Linked DNA regions of Sus scrofa. The protein of the gene in region 1 purifies or fractionates together with the protein of each later gene. This does not show direct contact. Links are inferred from orthologs where the notes say so. Each region holds a gene or a part of one and is shown in the gene's direction. Other genes may lie near its edges.

What was found.
Region 2: the proteins of RSRP1 (region 1) and CPSF6 purify together in Homo sapiens (affinity purification with mass spectrometry; 3 studies listed by BioGRID and IntAct, with this or other methods). This does not show direct contact. The link is inferred for Sus scrofa from reciprocal best matches to the Homo sapiens genes RSRP1 and CPSF6.

What each region holds. Positions count from the first base shown.
Region 1 is NC_010448.4:82,857,463-82,863,817, reverse strand, and holds the start of RSRP1 (arginine/serine-rich protein 1), read left to right. Parts: upstream 1-2,239; 5' UTR 2,240-2,377; intron 2,378-2,410; exon of another isoform or gene 2,411-2,727; intron 2,728-2,867; exon of another isoform or gene 2,868-2,961; 5' UTR 2,962-3,094; exon of another isoform or gene 3,095-3,164; intron 3,165-6,355. Other genes in the region: TMEM50A (transmembrane protein 50A), read right to left, coding at 1-41.
Region 2 is NC_010447.5:33,541,146-33,546,978, forward strand, and holds part of CPSF6 (cleavage and polyadenylation specificity factor subunit 6), read left to right. Parts: intron 1-263; coding exon 264-768; intron 769-3,504; coding exon 3,505-3,620; intron 3,621-4,527; coding exon 4,528-4,681; intron 4,682-5,833. UniProt on the Homo sapiens protein: Component of the cleavage factor Im (CFIm) complex that functions as an activator of the pre-mRNA 3'-end cleavage and polyadenylation processing required for the maturation of pre-mRNA into functional mRNAs.

The sequences.
Region 1 (6,355 bases):
ATGCATTCTGAGCATCTCAAGCCTTCTAGAAATCCAGACATTTTTTTTTTTTTCAGGTCACTTGAAAAAACAAACAAACAAAACCAACTAAAGAAAGTATTTCTATGGTGCCAGCACTGACCCATTGATCCCCCACCCCCACCCCCCAAAAAAACCAAGTATTTCTATTTATTTGCTTCAAACTTAACTTAGGCTTCCAGAAAATAATTAACTGTAATTTAATAAAAGTGAAGTTACAAATACTTGATTTGGCTACATACATCCCAGAATATTTAATTTAGCTTTTGAAGAATTTCCACCTAACTTTAGAAAACAAAATTTAGACTTTTTTTTTTAATTGAAAAGATGGTTTTGGTATATTTTAAGCAATAAACAAAACTGGGCATTCAAATATTGAAAAAAATTCTATGATTTTTAATTCCAAACTAATTTATTATATGATTTAGATATTTACAGTCCAGGAACACTAGCATAATGGAGAGACATGCAATAAAACGGGCTCTGAGTTAAAGCATGGACTCAGATGAAAAATATTTCTCTTAGCAATTAACACATTTTATCAAAGAACATGTTATCTCACACTCAGATTAGGAAATTAAACACTGTCCTCACATCAAATCCTTTCACTTCATTATTTTTCCTTCTCCAAGCCTGTCTTTTCATGTTATTTCTATGTAAAGAATACCCATTTAATTTTAAGCATCTCTGATTCTAAGATGTTTTCAAGTCAAATGAAAGCACAAAATTTAAGTCAATATTAATTCAGATAAAAAAAAAAGAAAATCCACTGCTAAATTATCATAAATTTCCACGGATAACAACTACATAAAACATTCCTTTGAACTGGGCTATACAGACCTGGTCTGAGACATATCCATATTATCACTATTTCAGAATATGAAAAAGTTTGCATTAAGTCTAACTTGTTAATAATCAAGCCAACTGGAGCTCCCGCGGAGGTGCAGCAATAACCAACCCTGGGAACTTCCGTATGCCAAGGGCACAGCCCTAAAAAGACCAAAAATAGTAAGAATAATCAAACACCCAAACTCCCGCAGCTAATTTTAACCGTCCGTGAAGCTAATCTGTAGCCAGCAATCATGGTTGCCCAAAAACACATCCTAAAAAAGAGCAATGAATCCAGCTGGAGCCTCCCTTTTAAAAATTAGACACTATATTGGAGTTCCGTTGTGGCTCAGTGGTTAATGAATCGGACTAGGAACCATGAGGTTGCAGGTTCGATCCCTGGCCTCGCTCAGTGGGTTAATGATCCGGTGTTGCCATGAGCTGTGGTGTAGGTCACAGACACTGCTCGGATCCTACATTGCTGTGGCTGTGGTGTAGGCTGGCGGTTACAGCTCCAATTAGACCCCCTAGCCTGGGAACCTCCATATGTTTTGGGAGCGGCCCAAGAAAAGACAAAAATAAATAAATATAAAAATTAGACACTATAAAAATTAAATATTAAAAACCGTGATTATAACTAGTGTTAATATGCCTTTAAGACAAGTCCAATGTTGAAAATTCACTCTTTTTATTCCTCCCTGGGAGGAAAAGCAATCAGTATGTTATTTTCGGTTCACTCCAGTGACCCCGCCCCAAACCATTTGTCTACGGTTAATTACCCGCACACTCAGGCCCAAACTCCGCCCTCCAGGCTCTGGGGATTTCAGGTGTAGAGTGGACTGGGACTGGGAAGAAGCGGGAACTAGTTCTAGCTCGGCCCCCTCCCTCGCTGAGTGAACCCGCAGGCTTACACTCCCTTCCGGAGTGTCAGTTCGCCCTAAAGGGGGGCATGGTGATTTTCAGGGATCCTGTGACGTCCTCGGGGAAGGCACGGTCGCCCCCTCCCGCCGCGGGTGGGACACGGGTGGGCAGGAAGTGGCCAGGAAGGGTCCAGGAAGGCACAGCCTGAGCCTACAGCTTCCCAGAGGGTGGGACGCAACGACCTGGTCAGCATCGGCCGGGCAGACAGTCCCGGGTCCGCACTTCATCCGGCCTGCGGCAGTGCCTCTCTTTCCCCCACTCCCGCCTGGCACTTACGTCCAGCCCCGCCCGTGCAGTCGGTCCGGAACCCGGTGTTGCCCCGCGCGGGGTTGCCCCACTTCCCCAGTTCCAGCCAAGAAAGCAAAACAGCCACAGGCCGCCGGATACCCGGATCGAACAGCACCGCCCCCGGGGCAGGAATGCGCATGCGGCTCCGGGCGTAGGAAGAGGCCTGGGAAGGAAGGAAGATGGGCTCAGAAAGAGCCAGAGAGCCACGCCCACCACGCCGGTGTCTCTGCGCATGCTCGGAACGCGCCAGCTCTAGGGCCTATCCGCTGCGCTCTGTCCACAGCTGGATGTCGGAAATGGTAGTTGCGTGCAGCTTTCAAGGGTAGGTGTGAGAAGTTGCTCTTTGCTTTCAAAAGAAGGCGTTTGCTTGGGCTTTATATCCAGTCTTCAGAGAGGTGATTATTCTTCTAGTGCTGGAGCCCGTTCCGTAGTTGTCTCAGGTGCGGTGCAGAAGGTAGATCTGGCCCAACAGCTCTAATCCGGTTTTTAAGTCTTGTTTAAAATTTTTCTCAGAGCCGCCCCCGCCCTCGCGGAAACTTTGCATCTATAAGGGGCGGTTCCCGGAAGGCGGGTAACGCCGAGTTCTGCTAGCCTGCTACTTGGGAGACCCAGGTGCGTCCCGGCGCGGTGACCCACTTCTAGGAGTTGACGTTTTTTTCAGTTTGCTTGAAGGTAGGGTTTCTGAGCCTAGGTATTACTGACGTTTGGGACCAGACAATTCGGGGGGGAGGGCCTCTGTCCCGTGCTGCTGTAGCATGATTAATCTGCATCACCCGCTTTCCTCCACTTATAACAACCAAAAATGTCTCCAGACTGCCAAACACTCGCCCCTGGGGAAAAGCGACCGGCTTGAGAACCAATGTTTAGGAGATAATCTGGATTCTGAAGAAGTGACCCTTTTCACAGCCGGAGGCAATGGTGTCAGCTAAGAGAATGACTTGTGGCTGGGATCGTCCCTTCCAAGAAGCTCTCGGTCGCATTCCAGCGTCTCGGTGGAGTCGATGGTGGTACAAGAGTCATAGCCCGCTCCGGAGAAGAGGCAAGTCACAGTCTCGTTCCTGAAGGCGCCAGAAGAGAAATTACAGGCGCCGCTCGCTATTCTGCTGGAGGTACCTCTCTCAGGAAAGGTCGTATTACAGAAGGGCCTCTTTGATCACGCGCAGGCGATAGCACTAGGTCTTTTACCCTGTGGTGTATCCGAAAGAACAGAGCACCTGGAGGGAGAGATCCAGGAAGAGGTCGCGGAGCAGAACCCGGTTTCACATAAGTAAAAGAGGTTAGGAAGGTTTTTTTTGTCGCTAAGAGAGGCGCACAGGTTCACCTCTTTTACATGTAGGGGTATATGTATGAGTAGACGAGGAAACCAAGGTTTTTGTGTCGTTTAATTTCTTTGATTTCTTTTGATGTATGAAATCTCCAGCTTTGGGTGAGGGATGGGCATTAGGTGATTAGTAGACAAAACTATGCAATAACAATCCATAGCCTATTTTTAAAGGGACATCATTCTTATTCCTTGGAATTAAAGAGTAATGGTGACTTTAAATGGTCCAGTGGAGGAATCTAGTGAGGGCAGTTCTTAATGGAACCTTTTAAATGTCTTTTTTTTTTTTTTTTTTTTTTGTCTTTTTGCCATTTCTTGGGCCGCTCTCGTGGCACATGGAGGTTCCCAGGCTAGGGGTCGAATCGGAGCTGTAGCCGCCGGCCTACACCACAGCCACAGCAACACGGGATCCAAGCCACATCTGCAACCTACACCACAGCTCACACCAGCACCAGATCCTTAACCCACTGAGCAAGGCCAATGATCGAACCTGCAACCTCATAGTTCCTAGTCAGATTCGTTAACCACTGAGCCACGATGGGAAACTCCTTAAATGTCTATTAATGACACAATAGTTTACCAGCTCTGAACAGCTTTAATTAATCTTGCCTTCAGCTTTTAATAAGTTAACTAATGACTGTGAGAGGAACGCATTAATCTTCCTTCCTCTTTGCGTTTTCTGTCTCCACTCTTTTTTAAATTTACTGGCATAAGACTGTCAGATATTTTGTAAGTGAGCATCTTAATCTTGCTTGTATAATAAAGTGCATCCTTAATTTGTCATTCTTAGCCTTTTGGGGGTATTCTATGGAATTAATGAGTGTTTGGTTTTTTTCCTTTGTAGATGAAATGGAGCTATTAGCACTAGCAAAAGCCTGCACAGCTAAATCCTTAGGAATAGCCAACCTTGACCTGCCAGCTAGTCTCAGAACTGTTACTGGAGTTAAAGAAACAGTGGAACAGCTGTACCAAATACCGCAAAGCTCGAAGTAAACCAGATTTATCCAAACAAAACTTTAAGAAAAACTACTCTTAGAAAGATCTGGTGAACCATTTTTGTTTGATTTACCTTAGGTTACACTCCTCAGAAAACCTAGCTGAATGTAATTTGCCAAAGTCAAAATAACAGATCTGAAAACAGTAGACAGGCTCTCACTCATGAAAGTGGAACAGTAACGAACTTTGTTTTGGGGAACCAACTGGGGCAGATTGGGACTGTTCCCGAAAGTCCCATTTTCTAAGACATCTGTCCTGGGTGAAAATGCCCTGGTTTTCAGCAGTGAGTGCAAATATTTGAGGGGAGCGCAGGGGTACAAAACCTATATTGTGGCCCTCCCAAGAGAGGCTGAAGACAACACCCTTTTTTATGAATGAATATGGTGATTGTCTGCCTTCTGTTAACCACTGATACCGGCAATCTGGATTTGTGTGGTTCACATAGTATATCTACATAACATAGCATTCTCTCAGAGCAGCTTAAATTCCAGACAGGAGCGTTAACAGGCCAGTTAACTTTTGTGCTTTGCATGGAGATAGTGCTCATGTAATTTTTAACTTTGTGAATATTGAGACCATGGTTTCTAAGAGTTCAGATATGAAAATGAGAATGAGTTCAATACCAATGCCAGCCTGACAGTACCAAAAAGAAGACTAAATGGCCCTGGTTTTTCTTTCTTTCTTCTTCTTTCTTTCTTTCTTTCTTTCTTTCTTTCTTTCTTTCTCTCTTTCTCTCTTTCTCTTCCTCTCTCTCTCTCTTTCTCTCTCTTTCTCTCTCTCTCTCTCTCTTTCTTTCTCTCTCTCTCTCTCTTTCTCTCTTTTTAGGGCCACACTCGAGGCCTATGGAGGTTCCCAGGCTAGGGGTCCAATTGGAGCTGTAGCCACTGGCCTACGCCACAGCCACAGCAACTCCGGATCCGAACCTGTGTCATCATGAATACTAGTTGGGTTGGTTAACCACTGAGCCATGACGGGAACTCTGGCTCTGTTATTTTAATGACAGATAGAAGGACACTGGATTAGGGATGTAAATAATCCAGCATACTGTACAATATGCAGGAAAAGAATTTGGGGTTGGCCATGGTGGAGAAGGGGATGTGAAAACACGTATGGAGACTGAATCCCACAAGTCTGGAATGAGACAAGCAGGCACTTTTGAATCAATACAGTGTTTTCATTGCCCTGAAGGACACCAGCACTCAGTCAAAAATAGCAGCTGCTGAATTAGCTTGGGCATACCACGAAAGGATGAACATGCCTTGTCCTATTGCTCCCTTGATTGCTTAGTGAAACTGAATAAAGTTATATTTCCAGATTCAGAGGTTGCAAGTAAAATGTCCTGTGTGCGAACAAAAGGGGAGATCTTGATTACAGATGTGTAGGCTCCTTACGGTGTAGAGCTGATCCTGTCAGACCATGCTTTCTATGGTATTATCAAGTGATGTGTTGAATCATGGCAATAAAAAAGTGTTCCCCCTAGCTCTTAGGTACTTGGATTTGAGAAATGGAGTTTCAAACCATCTTCTTGATTTCTATGAAAATTTTAATGACACTTCAAAAAACATAAAACAGGAGTTCCCGTTGTGGCATAGAGGAAACAAACCCAACTAAGATCCATGAGGATGCAAGTTTGATCCCTGGCCTCAATCAGTGGGTTAAGGATCTGGTGTTGCTGGGAGCTGTGGTGTAGTTTGCAGATGCCGCTTGGATCTGGAGTTGCTGTGACTCTGGTGTTGCTGTGGCTCTGGCATATGCTCAGGCGTAGGCTGGCAGCTACAGCTCCGATTAGACCCCTACCCTGGGAACCTCCATATGCCTCCACTGCGGCCCTAAAAAGACAAACAACAACAACAACAACAAAACAAAGTACCATATTTTTTATGTTTGAAAGAGTTTGAAAATGTTAACGTTGCTTACTTCTAAATTATGGGGAAGAAGAATGGAGGCGTCTTTTAGAGGATTCCATGCTTCCAGGGAATGGAT
Region 2 (5,833 bases), on another chromosome or scaffold:
TCTGTTAAAGTTTTTGTTTTAGTAATTTTTCTTAAGCATAAAATGAGCTAGTTAAATGTCTAAGGATATATTTCACCTTTGTAATTGTTAGTGTAGCATTGACCATATGAGTTTCATTTAAAGAGAAAAAGTCTTGGTCTGTGAGTTATGCTTTAAAAGTGTAATTTTGGCATGAAGATTAAAATTTCTTATTGAAGTGTTTGTTTGTTTTTTTTTTCCTCCCCTCCTCTCTCTCCCTCCCCCCCACCCCTCTATTACTATAGCTGGACAGACTCCACCACGTCCACCCTTAGGTCCTCCAGGCCCACCCGGTCCACCAGGTCCTCCACCTCCTGGTCAGGTTCTGCCTCCTCCTTTAGCTGGGCCTCCTAATCGAGGCGATCGCCCTCCACCACCAGTTCTTTTTCCTGGACAACCGTTTGGGCAGCCTCCATTGGGTCCGCTTCCTCCTGGTCCTCCACCTCCAGTTCCAGGCTACGGCCCCCCTCCTGGTCCACCACCTCCGCAACAGGGACCACCTCCACCTCCAGGCCCCTTTCCACCTCGCCCGCCTGGCCCTCTTGGGCCACCCCTTACACTTGCTCCTCCTCCGCATCTTCCTGGACCACCTCCAGGTGCCCCACCGCCAGCTCCACATGTGAACCCGGCTTTCTTTCCTCCACCAACTAACAGCGGCATGCCTACATCAGATAGCCGGGGTCCACCACCAACAGATCCATATGGCCGCCCTCCGCCATATGATAGGGGTGACTATGGGCCTCCCGGAAGGTAAGCTAGTGTGTGTCTACGAAAGTAGACTTGGTATGGAGTTTCTGTTGTGGCTCAGCGGGTTAAGAACTCAAAGTAGTGTCCATGAGGATGTGGGTTCAATCCCTGGCCTGGCTCACTGGGTTAAGGATCCAGCCTTGCCACAAGCTGCAGCATAGGTCACAGATGTGGCTCAGATTCATTGTGGCTCTGGTGTAGGCAGCAGCTGCAGGTCCAATTCCACTCTTAGCCCGGGAACTTCCATATGCCACAGGTGAGGCCACAAAAAAAAAAAAAAAAAAAAAGAGAGAGAGAGAAAGAAAAAATGTAGACTTGGTGTGTTGGATCTGCAAAAGATATTTTTCATTCTGTCAGTGAAGTTTTTAAAAAAAATTATGAACTTTCCCCAGATACTTTATTTTCATATTGTTTTCTCTTAGAAGAAACAGTATGATACAATGAAAAACGGGTACTGAGCGGGGTTGGAAATAATCCAGTTCTGCCACTTATACAGCCATGTGATTTTAGGGCAAGTTACTTTGTTTCCATCATTTTTTAAGTTAAAAAAGGTGAATAAAGATAATTTAAGTGAGCAAATGAGATCCTTAAGCTATTTTTAAGATTTAAAAGTCAATCTCATTTACCACTGATGACACTCAAGTTTTTTAATTGTTTTAGGAATTAGAATTAGATGGATACTATTGATTATCTCATCCTCATTAGGAGTCCTAAGCAAAATTATTAACTTTAAATTAAAATGGGAACATTAAGTAATTTATAAGCATATTCGGGTAGACAGACAATTGTGAAATACAGGCTTTGTGGAAATTAAAATGGCAATCCTTCGAGAAAAGCTGCATGAAATCATGGTGGAACTAAGTGATCCTTAAATCCCCTTTCAGAGTAGGTGTTTTCTTTCTTTCTTTATTTGGCCGAACCTGGGACTTGTGGAAGTTCCTGGGCCAGGGATCCAACCCACACTACAGCAGCCACCCTAGCCCCTGCAGTGACAACACTGGATCCTTAACCTACTGCGCCACAAGGGAACTCCTCAAAGTAGTTTTAAAGCTGTGCATATTCAATTCATAATCTGGAGAGCTTTGTTCTTAATCTCTAAGAAGTATTTGAATTTGCCCCCTTCATTTTCTTTTGAGTTTTATCATTTGTTTTTGAATTCTTTAATTATCCCTATTGAACTACTTTGTATTTCATTTTGTCTGATGATGTCATGCAAGGGTGGATTTGAGCATCTGCCTAATTCCATATAATTGCACAGGGCCAGGAAAATAAATTTGATGTTGTAAACAAAATCTACTGACAGTTATCTATCCATAGAGGTTGTGTCTTTATGACTACCGAAAAGGCTAGTTTTCTTTTGAAAAGTGATGTAACTATGAGGCTAGCACAACTTTTCTTCTGTTCAGTTTAGTTCCAGTGAGCCCAGTGAGCAGCTGCTTATCAAGTGTTCACCCATAGTGTTTAGGAGCAGGTTAGGTGGCTTGGTTTGACAGTTTAAAACTTGAGTCTGATATGCTTTTTCTGGCATGATAGAATTGCTGCAGTATTAGGTTTTCTAAAAATATGCATATTTGTGTGTGTATATAGGTATTATTAAGTAGTTTTTAATTGAAAATTAGAGAAAACTGATTATCTTACATGGGATTTTTTTAGAGGATAAGATGGGTATGAGTCACAGAATTTGCTTGAAATTATACATGGATTTTGAACAACTTGTAAATTAAAATTTGGGGAATAATAATATCTTATAAACATGCCAAAGGTTATATTAGTGATTTCCTCATTTCATTGGAATGAACTACTACTGCTTACCCTAATCTAACATCCTACCAAGTAACTAATAACTAAGATGGCAAAAAGTTTACCTTTGCCTGTACAATATATGTAGTCACCTTGTTTGTTTGTTTTTTTGTTTGTTTGTTTGTTTGTTCGGTCTTTTTAGGGCTGCACCCGCAGCAGTATACAGAGGTTCCCAGGCTAGGGGTCGAATCAGAGCTGTAGATGCTGCCCTATACCACAGCTCACAGCAGTGCCAGATCCTTAACCCACAGAGTGAGGTGAGGGATGGAACCTGCATCCTCATGGATACCAGTCAGATTCGTTTTCGCTGAGCCACGACAGGAACTCCTGAAGTCCCAATTTTTAAAGTTGTCCAGCAGCTTTAGAAAATCCTGGGATTTTTAGTAATATTTTTCAACAGAAAAAGTTCTTAGTACTTTTTATTTGCCAGATATTCTTCTAGGGATTCAGTGGCAAACAAGATCTAAGATCTTGTCCCTCCTGAAATTTTATTAAACACACTTATTATCCTGTTGTAAGTTGGGACCCTGTACGTAGAAGATCTAAGCATAAGTGAAACTGAATTCCCACTCTTGATCGTATAGGACTGTGTTTTTTGCATTCAGCATTTTTTGTTCACATATACAGAGGGGGAGAGAGAGAGACATCAGAACAATTTATATATATTTTTGTATGACTCTGAGCAATAGTATATTGTAGGTATGTAAATACGTCATTTCTGGTCTAAGTTGCTGCTTTTGTTTCAACTGAAAGATAATGGCGTAAGGGAATTTTGCATAGACTTTCTCTTTGTAGGAAAGCTAGCATATTTGAATCTGAAAAAGTAACTGCTAGCCCTAAAGCACTTGTCAAAAGCAACTGTTTGAATTGTTTCATGATGTTATGGCTGATTTATAAAATCTTTTGAGTATGATTTAAGGTTTATTTTGATTTTTATAGGGAAATGGATACCGCACGAACGCCATTGAGTGAAGCTGAGTTTGAAGAAATCATGAATAGAAATAGGGCAATCTCAAGCAGCGCTATTTCAAGGGCTGTGTCTGATGCCAGTGCTGGTTTGTATAGTTCTTTCTGTATTAATGACTTGAAAACTTCTTTTATTCTTTTTAGGTCCGCACCTGCAACATGTGTAACTTCCAGGCTAGGGGTCAAATCAGAGCTGCAACTGCCAGCCTGCACCACAGCTTGTGGCAACACCAGATCCTTAACCCTCTAAGCAAGGCCCACAATTGAGCCCATATCCTCATGGATACTAGTCAGGTTCTTAACCCAGCGAGCCACAATAGGAATTACTTAAAACTCAAGTGCAGTCTTGAAGATGGGTTATCTACATGTGGTAGTAATTATTTTTATTTCCAGATCATTATCTGTACTTTTTTAAAAGGCATTGAAGAATTCAGCAGGTTAAGGACACAGCATTGTCTCTGTGAGGATGCTGGTTTGATCCCTGACCTCATTTAGTGAGTTAAGGGTCCAGCATTGCCATAACTGCGGCATGGGTCACAGATGTGACTGTGATCCAGTATTGCTGTGGTGTAGGCCATAGCTGCATCTCTGATTCAGCCCCAGCCCAGGAACTCCATATGCTTCAGATGCAGTCTGGAAAAAGGCATAGGAGGAAGCTTTATGTCACAGTAATGGAAAGGCCCTAATTTTAAATTTTTTAGGTATAGATTTAAATCTTAGCCTGACATTTAATGGTTCAGGGACCTTAAGGCAGCTCATTAATTCTCATGTTTGCTAAGTGATAACTTGTTTCACACAGCTACAATAGTAACAAATTGTATTAATTTCATGTGCATTAAAGCCTTTTCCAAATTTTGAAACACAAAAAATTTAGGTATCTTCTACAGTCTATTTGCAGCGGCATTACTTTTGTAAAATAATTAACCTCGAATAACTGTGTGGTATTTTGAAAATAATTTATTTGACTTCAACCTCTCTCCTTCTGCTTGCTTACAGGTGATTATGGGAGTGCTATTGAGACATTGGTAACTGCAATTTCTTTAATTAAACAGTCCAAAGTATCTGCTGATGATCGTTGCAAAGTACTTATTAGCTCTTTGCAAGATTGCCTTCATGGAATTGAATCCAAGTCTTATGGTTCTGGATCAAGGTAAAACTTTCCTGTCTCATGTCTGTTTAAAACTTCTACTTTCCAAGTAGAAGAAAATGTTGCGCTTGGGCCTTTATAGGCCTTAGATTTTACTTATTACTATTAACTTAGCAGCTAGAGTGATTTTGTTGTTGTTATTTAAGCTCTAAATCAAATGTCAAATGTTTGCTTGCTTAAAACCCTTCAAAGCCTTCCAGTTATTCTTAGAATAAGACTAAATATTGAAATGCTTTGTGATATAGTCCCTGCCTATCTTTTCAGCCTCATTGTATCCCTCTCCCCTTGCTCACTATTCTCTAGCCATATTGATTTCCTTTCTCTTCCTCTTGAACATTAAGCACTTGACCCACCTCACTGGTTTTGTACTTGGTATTTCTTCTGCTGAGATCCCTTTTCCCTGACTCTTCACATAGCTGTCTCCTTATCTTTCATGCTTCAGCTCAATTTAACTTGCTAGGTTGGGTCTTCTCCCACTTAATTCTGTCATGCTTTATTTCTTTTGTAATACTGTAATGTGCTCTTATTTATTACTAACGGACATTTCTTTTCACTGAACACATTTAAAGATGGAAGGGAGCTTACTGTCTTGGTCACTACAATATTTGTTTACCAAGTAAACAGTGCTTGGTACCAAATGGATACTAAAATATTTCTTGAACAAGGGCATTAATGAATAAATGCTATTTCCTAGGGTTTTTGTTGTTGTTGTTGTTGTTTAATTCTTTCTTCCTTACGGCCATACCTGTGGTTTGTGAAAGTTCCTGGGCCAGGGATCAAATTGGAGCTATAGCTGTGGCCTATGCCGCAATACCAGATCTGAGCTGCATCTGCAAACTGTGCCACAGCTTGGGGCAACTCTGGATCTGTAACCCACTGAGTACGACGAGGGTGGAGCTGACATCCTCACACAGACAATGTCGGGTCCTTAACGCACTGAGCCATGATAGGAACTCCCCTAGTTTTTTAAATTAGGTAGTTCCTTTTTTGGGTATTATTACTACCTTGAAATTTTACGTATTTTTGAAAGGTAGATCTTTAATCTTCACATAACATTCTTAAATCTGTCTTTAGTATACTTTTTCTGATGCTGGTCTTCTTAAGTTAGAAAAAGGAATTTATCTTTGTCATGGTCACTAACTTTATTACCTTTTG